Linked DNA regions of Arabidopsis thaliana. The protein of the gene in region 3 interacts with the protein of the main gene of each other region in a pairwise test. Each region holds a gene or a part of one and is shown on either strand. Other genes may lie near its edges.

Evidence for each region. Proteins that work in one complex are often made in the same cells at the same time.
Region 1: the proteins of WRKY56 (region 3) and AT5G08480 interact in binary tests that used the Arabidopsis thaliana proteins (3 or more experiments, as listed by UniProt).
Region 2: the proteins of WRKY56 (region 3) and AT4G37710 interact in binary tests that used the Arabidopsis thaliana proteins (3 or more experiments, as listed by UniProt).

What each region holds. Positions count from the first base shown.
Region 1 is NC_003076.8:2,741,359-2,745,629, reverse strand, and holds AT5G08480 (VQ motif-containing protein), read right to left. Parts: upstream 2,312-4,271; 5' UTR 1,787-2,311; exon of another isoform or gene 1,213-1,786; 5' UTR 1,145-1,212; coding exon 623-1,144; 3' UTR 519-622; downstream 1-518. Other genes in the region: SLG1 (Tetratricopeptide repeat (TPR)-like superfamily protein), read left to right, coding at 1-422; PEX1 (peroxisome 1), read right to left, coding at 2,899-2,937, 3,031-3,303, 3,536-3,653, 3,870-3,931, 4,011-4,136. UniProt on the Arabidopsis thaliana protein: May modulate WRKY transcription factor activities.
Region 2 is NC_003075.7:17,716,146-17,719,289, forward strand, and holds AT4G37710 (VQ motif-containing protein), read left to right. Parts: upstream 1-1,982; 5' UTR 1,983-2,088; coding exon 2,089-2,460; 3' UTR 2,461-2,626; downstream 2,627-3,144. Other genes in the region: PSK6 (phytosulfokine 6 precursor), read right to left, coding at 2,816-2,950, 3,045-3,144. UniProt on the Arabidopsis thaliana protein: May function as negative regulator of flowering transition.
Region 3 is NC_003070.9:23,745,524-23,749,601, forward strand, and holds WRKY56 (WRKY DNA-binding protein 56), read left to right. Parts: upstream 1-1,780; 5' UTR 1,781-1,910; coding exon 1,911-2,311; intron 2,312-3,173; coding exon 3,174-3,360; 3' UTR 3,361-3,530; downstream 3,531-4,078. UniProt on the Arabidopsis thaliana protein: Transcription factor. Interacts specifically with the W box (5'-(T)TGAC[CT]-3'), a frequently occurring elicitor-responsive cis-acting element.

The sequences.
Region 1 (4,271 bases), on a different chromosome or scaffold from region 3:
CTGTAGATCTAATTGCTCGAGGGGGTCGACTTGATGATGCATATTCTTTTGTCACACAGATGCCAGTTGAACCTAATGCAAATATATGGGGAACACTGTTAAGGGCGTGTACAACCTATAATAGGATGGATCTGGGGCACTCAGTTGCAAATCATCTCTTGCAAGCTGAATCTGACGACACCGGAAACCACGTTCTAATATCGAATATGTATGCTGCAGATGCTAAATGGGAAGGCGTGATGGAGTTGAGAAACCTAATGAAGAAAAAGGAAATGAAAAAGCCAGCGGGATGTAGCTGGCTAGAAGTGGATGGGCAAAGGAATGTCTTTGTGTCTGGAGATTGTTCTCACCCTCGTAGAGACAGTATTTTTGACTTAGTAAATGCTTTATATCTTCAGATGAAAGAGCCTGTGGTGTTTTAATCGATGAAAATTGTTAAAACGCTGCGAAGCTAGATCATGATGGTCTACACAAAGCAATTGCACATATGACACAGACAAATCTTGAGTGAACAATGTAAGAGAACAATCTTCCTCTTCCAATGATATTGTTGTGAAACTCTACATGTACATAATCTTTGGGATAGTAGGCAGAGAACAAACTTATGATTAATCTGTCGGGTTTATGGTTTGCCACTCGAATTGGGAGATGTTAAAGGAAACAAAGTAAGCAATTCTGGTTCTGTATACCCCGGTTTAGACCTTGGCGATGGATGCAAGTAAAAGCGTCTTTCTTTAATGGCTTTCTCCTCTTCTTCGATGTTTGTTGTACAACTATCTGGTTCCCCTTCTATCAAGGACAAGTTAGAGAACAATGAAGAAGGGGTGCCCACTGGACTTGTTAAAAGGTTGGTATTACCAGATTTAGATGATGGTGTCGTACCAGTGGGCTTAAAGCTCAGAGGAGGTTTGACAATTTCAAGCTTTGGCCTCATACATTGCCTTCTCTCATGGAGCTTTGAAGTTGGCCTCTTTTGTATGGCGGTTTTTATCACTGTTGCTTCTGGTGTTGCTGCTGCAGCGTTGTTCTCTGTTGGACCTGTCAAGCGCTGCACAATTTCTCTGAAAGTGTTGGTGTCAGTTTGGACAAATGTAGTGACAGGCTTGCAGGTTGTTGCAACGTTTTGACTCCCTTTGCTATTCATATGTAAGTGTTTCTCTGACAAAACAACCTTTGATTTACACCTATTTTGGTCTCTGACCTGCAACAAAACTACCGTTTATGCAGTTGATGAGAAGATGAAAAAATATTCAAACATGAAAGGTCCTATCAAGAGAACCGAGGAATGTCAACTTCATGTGAGTTCAGAGATTAGATTGATGGAAGGTTAGAAATACTCAGAAGTCTTCTTGTAATCCAAAATTAGGTATTTGTTAAAGATTTCCTTCGTCATAATTTTTCAAAAACAAGCAACTCAAAACATAAATAGCTACAGATACAAAAGATGAGGTAGTCGTGTACTCAAACCTCACCACTTTTACAAGAGCACTAGATTCTTATGTGGGGAAAAATAATAAAAAATTGGCTTCTCCTAAATTTGCTTTGACTTGTTGTATACTCAAATATCTATATCAAAGTTTGGTGCTCTTACTAATTGTAGGAATGACAATGAAGAGGGCTTTTCATGTCCTAAATCTATCTTCATCGTCATAATCATCATCTTTATGGTGGTTACTAGTTCATATGATGAGAGAACTGTTAATAAAAGTTTCTATGTAGCATTCAATTTACGATTTGATAACCCTACAGGAGTCAGAGAGAATGATAAAAAGGTCAAAAGGCATACCTGAAGAGCAAGCCGAGGCAACAAGTGGAGGTAAAATCGAATGAGAATGCCGGATTTTTTTCTGAAGAAATAGAACTTAAAACAGAAGAAGGAAATAAAAAGAGAGAGAAAGAACTAAAAGAAGATATAAAGACTGTTGTTGGTCTAATGGTCACAGCTCAGAACTTGTTCATATTACCAGAAAAGAGAAGAAAATGAAAAGAGGAAAATCAGGAGAAGAATATGGAGAGGAAAGAGGAAAAGGACTCTTTTATCCCTTTGTTCTTAACCGTTTTTGGGTTTGGGTTTTTGTCACACAAAAAAGATAATAAATTATTTTGTTTATAGAACTAAGTTTGTTTGGTCAAACATCAAAATGACATAATTTGTGATGAGTTTATTTCATTGTTGTCGTGAAGGAATGGAGAAAGGAAGTTAAAGAAGGAAGAAATGCATGCCGTTTCGGTTAAGGAGATGGGTAGAGAGAGACGTCACAGCAACCTCTCTCCCCCGCCCAATTTATAAACCAATCGTTTTTTTTTTTTTGGCTGTCTCTGTTGAATGTGATGAGATATTATTAACTGTACTCATGACAGTTTCTTAACTGACTCTATTCGTCCTCTGTGGATAATTTTGTTGACTCATTTCAAGTTATGGCCATAACAATTAACAACATTATTCACTGGCATTGTCAAAGATAGGAGGCAACAACCTTTACCTGTGAGTTACGAATACGTTGTCGTTTCTTTTCCTTTTTTGCTTTGGACTGATAAATTTTGTTGCACGATAATAGTTGACTCTTTTCTATGCGTTTTTATTTCATTTCATACACAAAATTACGGAACTTGAATACCATTTTTATCTTGTTTTGACCAAAAATATTACAGCTTTTAAAATTCTAAAATTGCCAAAAGAAATGTATTAATCTTATTACTGTAGAGATGTCTATAGTCGTTTGAATCTTGTAGAACTTACCATGTGTCTCTCTAGTATCTAACTATCTTTATTCCAAACTTCAACCACTTTTACTCTAATGCTAACAACTGGGCATATCTATCATAAAGCAAATTTTACAACATGATGTGATTTCTACAATGTAACCATTCCTTTTTGTGTCTTTGTAATACCTTTGATTATGCTAAGGTTGCTCTTTTGCCCTTTGCTTCTCTTGACTACAAGCAAAATAAGATTTTGATGTTGTTAGTAATCAACAACTGGGTTTGTATAAAAGGGAAGAGGAATTAGAGTGGAGATGAGAGAGATACCGATTTTCTTGAATCCAGAAACTGGCTATATATGTCATAGAGCTTTTGTTTCTCGGTTTCGGAAACCGATGGTTTAGTTTTAGAAGCAATCGACTTCAGAAGAGGATCAGTTATTATTGGTGTAGTTCCGGTCTCGGGTTTATCTTCTCTGTTCAGATACTCGTGTACAGCTGCAAGTTGCGCATCTGAGAGAAGAGCTTGAAGATCAGCTCCACTGAAGCCTTCAGTCATCAAAGCTATAGGCTCTAGGTCAATATCATCAGCCATCAGAAGCTGTAAAAATGCAGAAAGATTTTTTGTCATCTTAACTACTTGTAATATATATAGATAAATCTTATCTACATATTGTCTAGGGAGACCATCAATTGAATGTCAGAATCCAATGGAAATCGCTTAGCCATAGAAGATTCTAGTTAATGGTCGTTCAGATATGTAGCATACATACTTTACATGAGACTTGAGGACAAAAATGATTAGCAGAAATGATGTAACTGAGAGTACTAACCTTTCTAGAAAGAACTGTAAGAATCTCTAATCGTTCTGGTGGGGAAGGAAAGTCGCACAAAAGAAGACGATCAAGCCGGCCAGGCCTTAGGAGGGCAGGATCAAGTAAATCTGGTCTACTGTTAATTGAGTCATGTATCCATTATAAAGTCATTATCCCTCTTTTGTATGTAATGAAAAACATAAATTGAGGACTGAGCACAGGCTTCAAGATTATCATATTTAAGATTTATTATTAACTATCAACTCAGAAGAATCCACCGTTTGCAGTTGATTATATGATACATCGAACACAAAATATGATATGCAAGATAGACTTATTCGGGTGTGAATACCTGGTTGCAGCAAATACAAAGACCCCTGTTAGAACTTCAACTCCATCCAGTTCTGTCAAAAACTACGCAAAAGAAAAATATGACATGAGATGTTTGAACTTTGACTTGGATAGAATTTGCTCAGACTTTGAAGTAACTTACTTGATTAACAACTCGATCAGTTACACCAGTATTATCATGTCCTCTTTTGGGAGCAATTGAATCGAATTCATCGAAAAAGAGTATGCATGGAGCTGCAGCTGCTGCTTTCGAAAATATATCACGGACCTGAGAGAAGTGTGTTTTCCATTATTGTATATGCGGAACCATTAGGATAACATTTTCAGATTTTTATGTAAAGAGACTAGCAGGAATAACAATTAAAAAGGAACAAAGCTGTCTGAAAACTTTTCTCTAGAAACA
Region 2 (3,144 bases), on a different chromosome or scaffold from region 3:
AAACGAATGAATAAAACAGAGCTAGTAGGATTTAGTGATAGCAGTCACAATGTTGATGAGGATGATGGAAGAAGTACGACGGGTCATATTTTCTATCTTAATGACTGTCCTATCACTTGGTGCTCGCAAAAGCAAGAAACTGTGGCTCTATCGTCTTGTGAAGCTGAGTTTATGGCGGCTACAGAGGCAGCAAAACAAGCGGTTTGGCTTCAAGAGTTACTTGAAGAGATTGTTGGAAAAACGTGTAAGCAAGTGTTGATATTAATTGACAACAAGTCGGCTATAGCACTCACGAAAAACCCGGTTTTCCATGGACGAAGCAAACACATTCACAAGAGGTATCACTTTATTCGTGAGTGCGTTGCGAATGAACAAGTTGAGGTGGAGCACGTCCCCGGAACCGAACAGAGAGCCGACATTCTAACAAAGGCACTCGGGAGAATCAAGTTCAAAGAGATGAGAGATCTTGTGGGAGTTCAAGATATGACAAAGTGTAGCTTCAAGCTTAAGGGGGAAAATGTTGGAGTAAGCTTGAAGCTTACTTGAAGAAGAAGCAATCAAGCAAAAAGGAAATTAAAATTAGACTTTGTGTTTAGGAAGTTGCCTAAATACTTATGTGTGTTTTCCTAATAGGATTAGGAAATTGTCTAGTTCTTTTCTTATATAAAGGAGTTGCAAGAGTGTTGCAAAACTTATGAGTTGAGAGATTAAGATTGTGTGTTTTTAGGTTTTGAGTTATTTTCTTAAAGCAATAAAAGAGAGAGTCTTTTATTCATAATCTTGTTCTTATTCTTGAGTTTGATATATAGTTTGAATCAATATATTTTACAAGCATTCGTCACACATCTGATATATACACATTCCACACTCAATCAAAGTATGGCACGGCACAATCCCAATGATGCATTTAGATTTCTCTCTTCTATGACATTCTCCTTCCATCACTACTCCATCTGCACATCATCACTTTCATCATCAAGGCGTTTTCTTTACATACTCCGGTTGAGTTTATGCTCTTCTAAAAAACCTGCAAAAATCAAATCAAAATTTTCATTACAACGCCTTCTGAATTTCAGAAAACTATGTGCAACATAATCATGCAAGTATCATATACTAATCTAAAAATAAAATAAAAACCTTTATGCCCAAATATCCATTTCAGACATATATTTTAGTTTTTCAAAGAAACTAATCTTCTTAATAAAACAGAACTAGGATTGTTATTTTTCCTATATATCAATATGAACAATTAAATTCAAGTAGATTCTTTCAAGACTGCCTAATTTATTTTCCATTTCAAGACAATTTTAAGACTAATCTACCAAATCAAATAACCACGAGAACAGAGGTTAAGCTTCTTTGTTATTATCATCTTATGTGACCTCTTCCAAATATATATATATCTCAAATGTTTTAAATCTGAAAGATATCTAGAGCATCGTAGTTAAAGAAATAAACCAAAAGAGTTACCGTTATGTAACGTTCAAATTTACCTTTTTCTCTAACGTTCCGACTGACGTGACTCTTATGCGCACTGTATTACTAGAAATCAAAATAATAGATTAGTTTGTTTTTTTGTTACGGCTAATAGATTACTTGTTATAAAAGTAAATAAAATAAAAAGATCAAGGAATCCGATTAGATTCAAATCCGAAGGCTATTGATAAGTACTTAATCTTCTTACCATTACAGATAATATCAAACCGTCACGTGGACAGCCACAGCTTTCTTTATTATAATATTTGATAAAGTATTAATTCAGTTTGATTAAAGAATCTTCCTCTTAATAGTTTAATCCTAATCAGAAACTTCGAAAACTATCAAATCAATAAAATATTAAGAACACACACGTTGAAAATTCCCCTTTCACTTATGATTCTCATAAACAAAACTAAGAAAAACAAACAATGTTCTCAATAGTCAATTCCCTAATAAGAGTCAAAAACCAAAGGCTTGACCCTCGTTGAACATGTTGCACATCCATCATTATATATCAGAAGAACATAACTTTCACATTCAAAGATCAATAAATATCAGAAGAACATAACTTTCACATTCAAAGAATTTTAAGCGACATCTCAAGTCTCAATGGAAGCAACATCACAACAATTTATGTCTCAGAGTTACCTTAACGCTCAAGAAACCACCACAAGGGCAACGAAAAATTACCTAACTTCGCTCCATTCGACACGTAAACAACCTTCAAAGCCCTTGAAGAGGCCTGCAATATCATCACCTTTGAATCCAATGCATCCTCATGTCTACCGAGTCGAGCCAGTAAACTTCAAAGTGTTGGTTCAGAGGCTAACCGGTGCACCTGAGCACGAGACTGTGCAGGCTAAACCGCTCAAGACTTCGGATGATGCAGCAAAGCAGAGTTCTTCGTCATTTGCGTTTGATCCATCATCATCTTGGGGAGATTTCTCATTCCAAAATCCTGCAAATATTTCCAGATGGTAGCTTCTACTCTTGCAAAATGCTTCTTTTGATTGAAATGCTTAACATTCTTGTATTTATTTTTAGTTTGTTTTTAATAAACCAGAAAGATGTAATCATATATTTTTCAGACTCGCATTCTAGAATTAATTTGTTATGTCATTTATCTGTAACACACACATAATTTGTGGGAGTTAAGACTTTTGATTAAAATAAAACATAATTGGATTGATTAAGGATTCTAACTACATTGGGAATAATTTGATATTTTCATTAAAAGAATAAATTGAATTAATCAATGATTCTATATACACATGTTTAACATGTGAGAATAATTTGAAATTCACAACAATTAACGTTAGAATAATTTTACAGCTAATTAATGATGATTATTCTTATGTGTGTAGATATAATCAAGATGAGCCGTCAATGTTCTTCTCACCAAGCAATCTTCGTCGTCTTCTTTATCGCAGCTCTCTCCCGCCACCTCATGTAATTTTGATTCTATCATTTCCTGATGAAACACAATGAAACATAAAATTACAAACGAAAATATATAACTACGCATGAATCAACATTCAACATGTGTTTACGCATATAATACTAACCAGACTAAGTGTATCCGCCGGAGAGGTTGTGAAGGAGGCGAAGTAGGCAGGTTCAGGGCGGGCGCTGCACGTTAGCATGGTGGCGCAAAGGAGGAGAGCT
Region 3 (4,078 bases):
TGTCATATATTTTATTTTATTTTTTAATTTTATATATAAGCCAAAAATTTAGCCTAACTACAAGCCAAAATTGTAATTGTTTTGCGGTTGTATAGTTTTAAGCTATCAATAACTATATTTCAATGTGGTAATCAATTGATTTTTGTAGATATTTAATTTACACAATAAGTTGAATCGGAAAGTTCAATTTTATATACTCTCTTTGTTTTTTATAAGTGATGTTCTAAGCTTTTATTTTTGTTTTTAAATATATGATATTTTAAAATTTTAATGCAAAATTTATTATATTTTCATTGGTTTTGATGATTTTTATTCCACAGATAATTTTTCTATTGGTTTATTAAATAATAAATGATATTTTAGTTTAAAGTAAACAAAAATTAAATAATTTATTAAGTGTGTATTCTCTTAAAACATCAACTAAATAAAAATTATAAAAGAAAAAATATATTTTAAGAAAATGGATCCACTAACATTTGATTTACATTTGTACATAATTTTATGGTTTATGAGAATGAGAAGCTTCCACGTGCATGCATGAGTTTGCATAGGTTAATTACATTTGGATGTATAATTATTCGAGCGGTCAAAGAGATTCTTAACAACCACAACCACAATAATTTGCTTAAGTCCATTTATCCGTATTTAATGCCCAACATTTTACGCGACTTCATGATTTCTATAAGTTTCATTATCGGTAGTATAACTTAGTAGGGGATGTATGGTTGGACGAACGAAATTTCAAAATGAAACTTTGCGAAAACGAAATGAAGGGGGATGCGAAATTCATAAAAATATCCCACTTTAATCATATAAATGTCTCATACTTAGAGTTAAAAGATCAATGATATGTTCAAATTAACCACTATATATAGTCCATATTACGTGGTGGAAATATCATTGGACAATGGAACAAATACGCAGAATTCTTATGGTATCGAGAAAAAAAAATCTTATCGTATTAATTCGTTATATAAATTATTTTTTTTTATATTTTTTTTTGACAAAATGTGAATATTATTAATCCATTATTGTGCATATAAATATCTATAAACAACGACAAGGATGATATAAATTTAGTGATCTAAAACAATCTCTAAATTTTAGCTAGTTCTCAAACCGACCAGACGTGCATTTCAGGCTCACGAGTGTGTGTATGGAGTTGGTACACTATATTTAACCACACGTTTGAAATGCAAATAAAAGCAAATTAATTACTACTTGTTACATGTAAATTTATAAGCAAGTTAAGCCTTTACCGAACATTCCCTTTGTCATGGGAAAACATCAACAAGAACTTTGACCATAAATATAACTAGATTTTGATCGGTTTATATGAAACATGTGAGTAGTTTTTCCACATGAAGTTAAAACAATCGTTACAATTTACATATTCTAAAAACATCAATACATATTACGAATTGGTGCCGAAATATATAAATTTAAATAAGCTAATCAATTTATTCTACAAACTATTCTCAAAATGTATAAGACCACTCAATATATATACCATCGATGTCAATTTTTGTTTTTTTAAAGATTAATATTTACTATTTAGATTTCAAAATATGGGTTGAAGTACATTTGACATGTACATGCATTTTTGGATATATATTAATATATGATTCTATATAATATATAGATCCAAAAACGTTGTAAAGAGATATATAGCTAGGAAAAGGAGGAAAGACTTAGGCAGTTGAACAGAAAAGTTAGGTGAATATAGTTGGCTTCAATATTATACCCTTTAACTCATTCTTCTTCTTTCTTTCCTACAAATATCCTTATAACCTTTCTTCTCCTCTTCTCCTTCTTCCTCTTATGCAAACATATATTTACATAAACACACACATATATATAGTAAGAGAGAGAGAGAGAGATCTAGCAAGATAGTGAAAGCTTCATAATCAATGGAAGGGGTTGACAACACAAATCCTATGTTAACCCTAGAAGAAGGCGAAAACAACAATCCTTTTTCTTCCTTAGATGACAAAACATTAATGATGATGGCTCCTTCGTTAATCTTTTCGGGCGATGTAGGTCCATCTTCTTCTTCTTGTACTCCAGCAGGTTATCATCTATCTGCTCAGCTGGAGAACTTTCGAGGAGGTGGAGGAGAGATGGGAGGATTAGTGAGTAATAATAGCAATAATAGTGATCATAATAAGAATTGCAACAAAGGAAAAGGGAAGAGAACTTTGGCAATGCAGAGGATAGCTTTTCATACAAGGAGTGATGATGATGTTCTTGATGATGGTTATCGTTGGCGAAAGTACGGTCAGAAATCTGTCAAGAACAATGCTCATCCCAGGTTCTTTTAATTTTATTTTATTGCGTCCCATACATTTACTAGTGTGTTTAAAAATATATATGACAACGTTAAAGTAGATATCGAAATTGACCTAAGCATATCTATAACATACACACACATCCTTGGTCACGTGTATATTTTGGAAACATTAGTTTAACAACCTAAACGACCAAAGTCATCAATTTAGGTTATTAGTCCGGTTGCATTACATTATTGCTTGTTTCTTGGAATTGGGGGTGTTCATTTTGTGGTTTATCCAAACCAATCCCTGACTTATATAATCCAAAATATAATTGGTATATATAACCAAAAATATTGTGTTTTTAAGTAACATTGATGTACCCCCAAATTTTGATCAATATATCACATTTACAACCTAAAAAGAACAATTTGGGCCTTTTATTTCGTTGTTGCTAGGAAACGATAACAGATGAAATCTTGCTCGCTTGACTGTTGTTGCTATGACAACATATTTTGGTTTGGTTTTAGTCGAATAAATCATATATCGATGAATCCATAGGTGATAATGAAACGAATATGGTTTGGTTGTTGCTGTTCGTCCAGCCCATATGTATATATAGTTTACATTGGATGATGTTTTCGTAGAACCAAACTAATAAACCCAAATTTTACTTAAAAAATTAGTTGTAAATTTTCAAAATGCATGTACTTACTTAATCAATACCTTAAATTACAATCTCTATTATCTGAAATTATTACCAATTATACCTCGTGAAGTCGTGATTAATATGAACTTTGTTCCATAAGATCTATACCAAAAAACTTAACATCGATAACACACATACATCACCTATATGGATTAATTTACTATTCACATTTTTATACAAAATAATATTTGCAGGAGCTATTATAGATGTACATACCACACATGCAACGTGAAGAAACAAGTGCAAAGACTGGCAAAAGATCCAAACGTTGTCGTAACAACCTACGAAGGTGTTCATAATCATCCTTGTGAGAAGCTCATGGAGACTCTTAGCCCTCTCCTTAGGCAACTTCAGTTCCTCTCAAGAGTTTCTGATCTGTAATTATTGAATGTTAATTAGTGGTGTAATACATTAATTATGCTTTAATCTCTCCATTGACCCTCAATCTCCAAAGAGACAAATGTATAGAATAAATCTCATAACATACATGCTTTAGGTTTATTGAGACATTGATCTATGTTTGCTTTAATTTGATTCGTCTAATTGTCCCTCTCTCGTGGATTATTTGTTTTTTTTTTAGGTGAACGATCACATTTAAACCAAGTGTAGTTAGCTCTGGTAAAAAGGTTTTAAGCAAAGGTTAGAAGTTGTTGGTTTGAATGATGCTTGGAACAAAACTAATAATAAATGTTGTGATTTCGGGTTTGAGTGGATTACGAGATTTGACCCCGAACCTTCTTCTATTTAAAAAAGAACAAAAAACACGATCACATTTAGGCATTTACTGGACCAGTTTTGAATTTAGAAAATGTTTGGGGTCATATTATGGATCTCAAAAGCTTTTTTTTTATGGGTTGCCAAAGCCCTTTGTTTGATTAAAGCAATAGCATGTTTGATCTGAGTATCTGACCAAGATTATGTCCTCGCAAAATATGAACGATTTAATACATCAAATCTGTTTTACACATATTATTCCGCATATATACTATCTACTTTAAAATGAAATGATTAACCTTAGTTCATAATGATTACGTGAAAAATGGTATTACATTTTGGGGTTTGGAGGATGCACAGAAACACAAGTGGTCGGATAAACCTT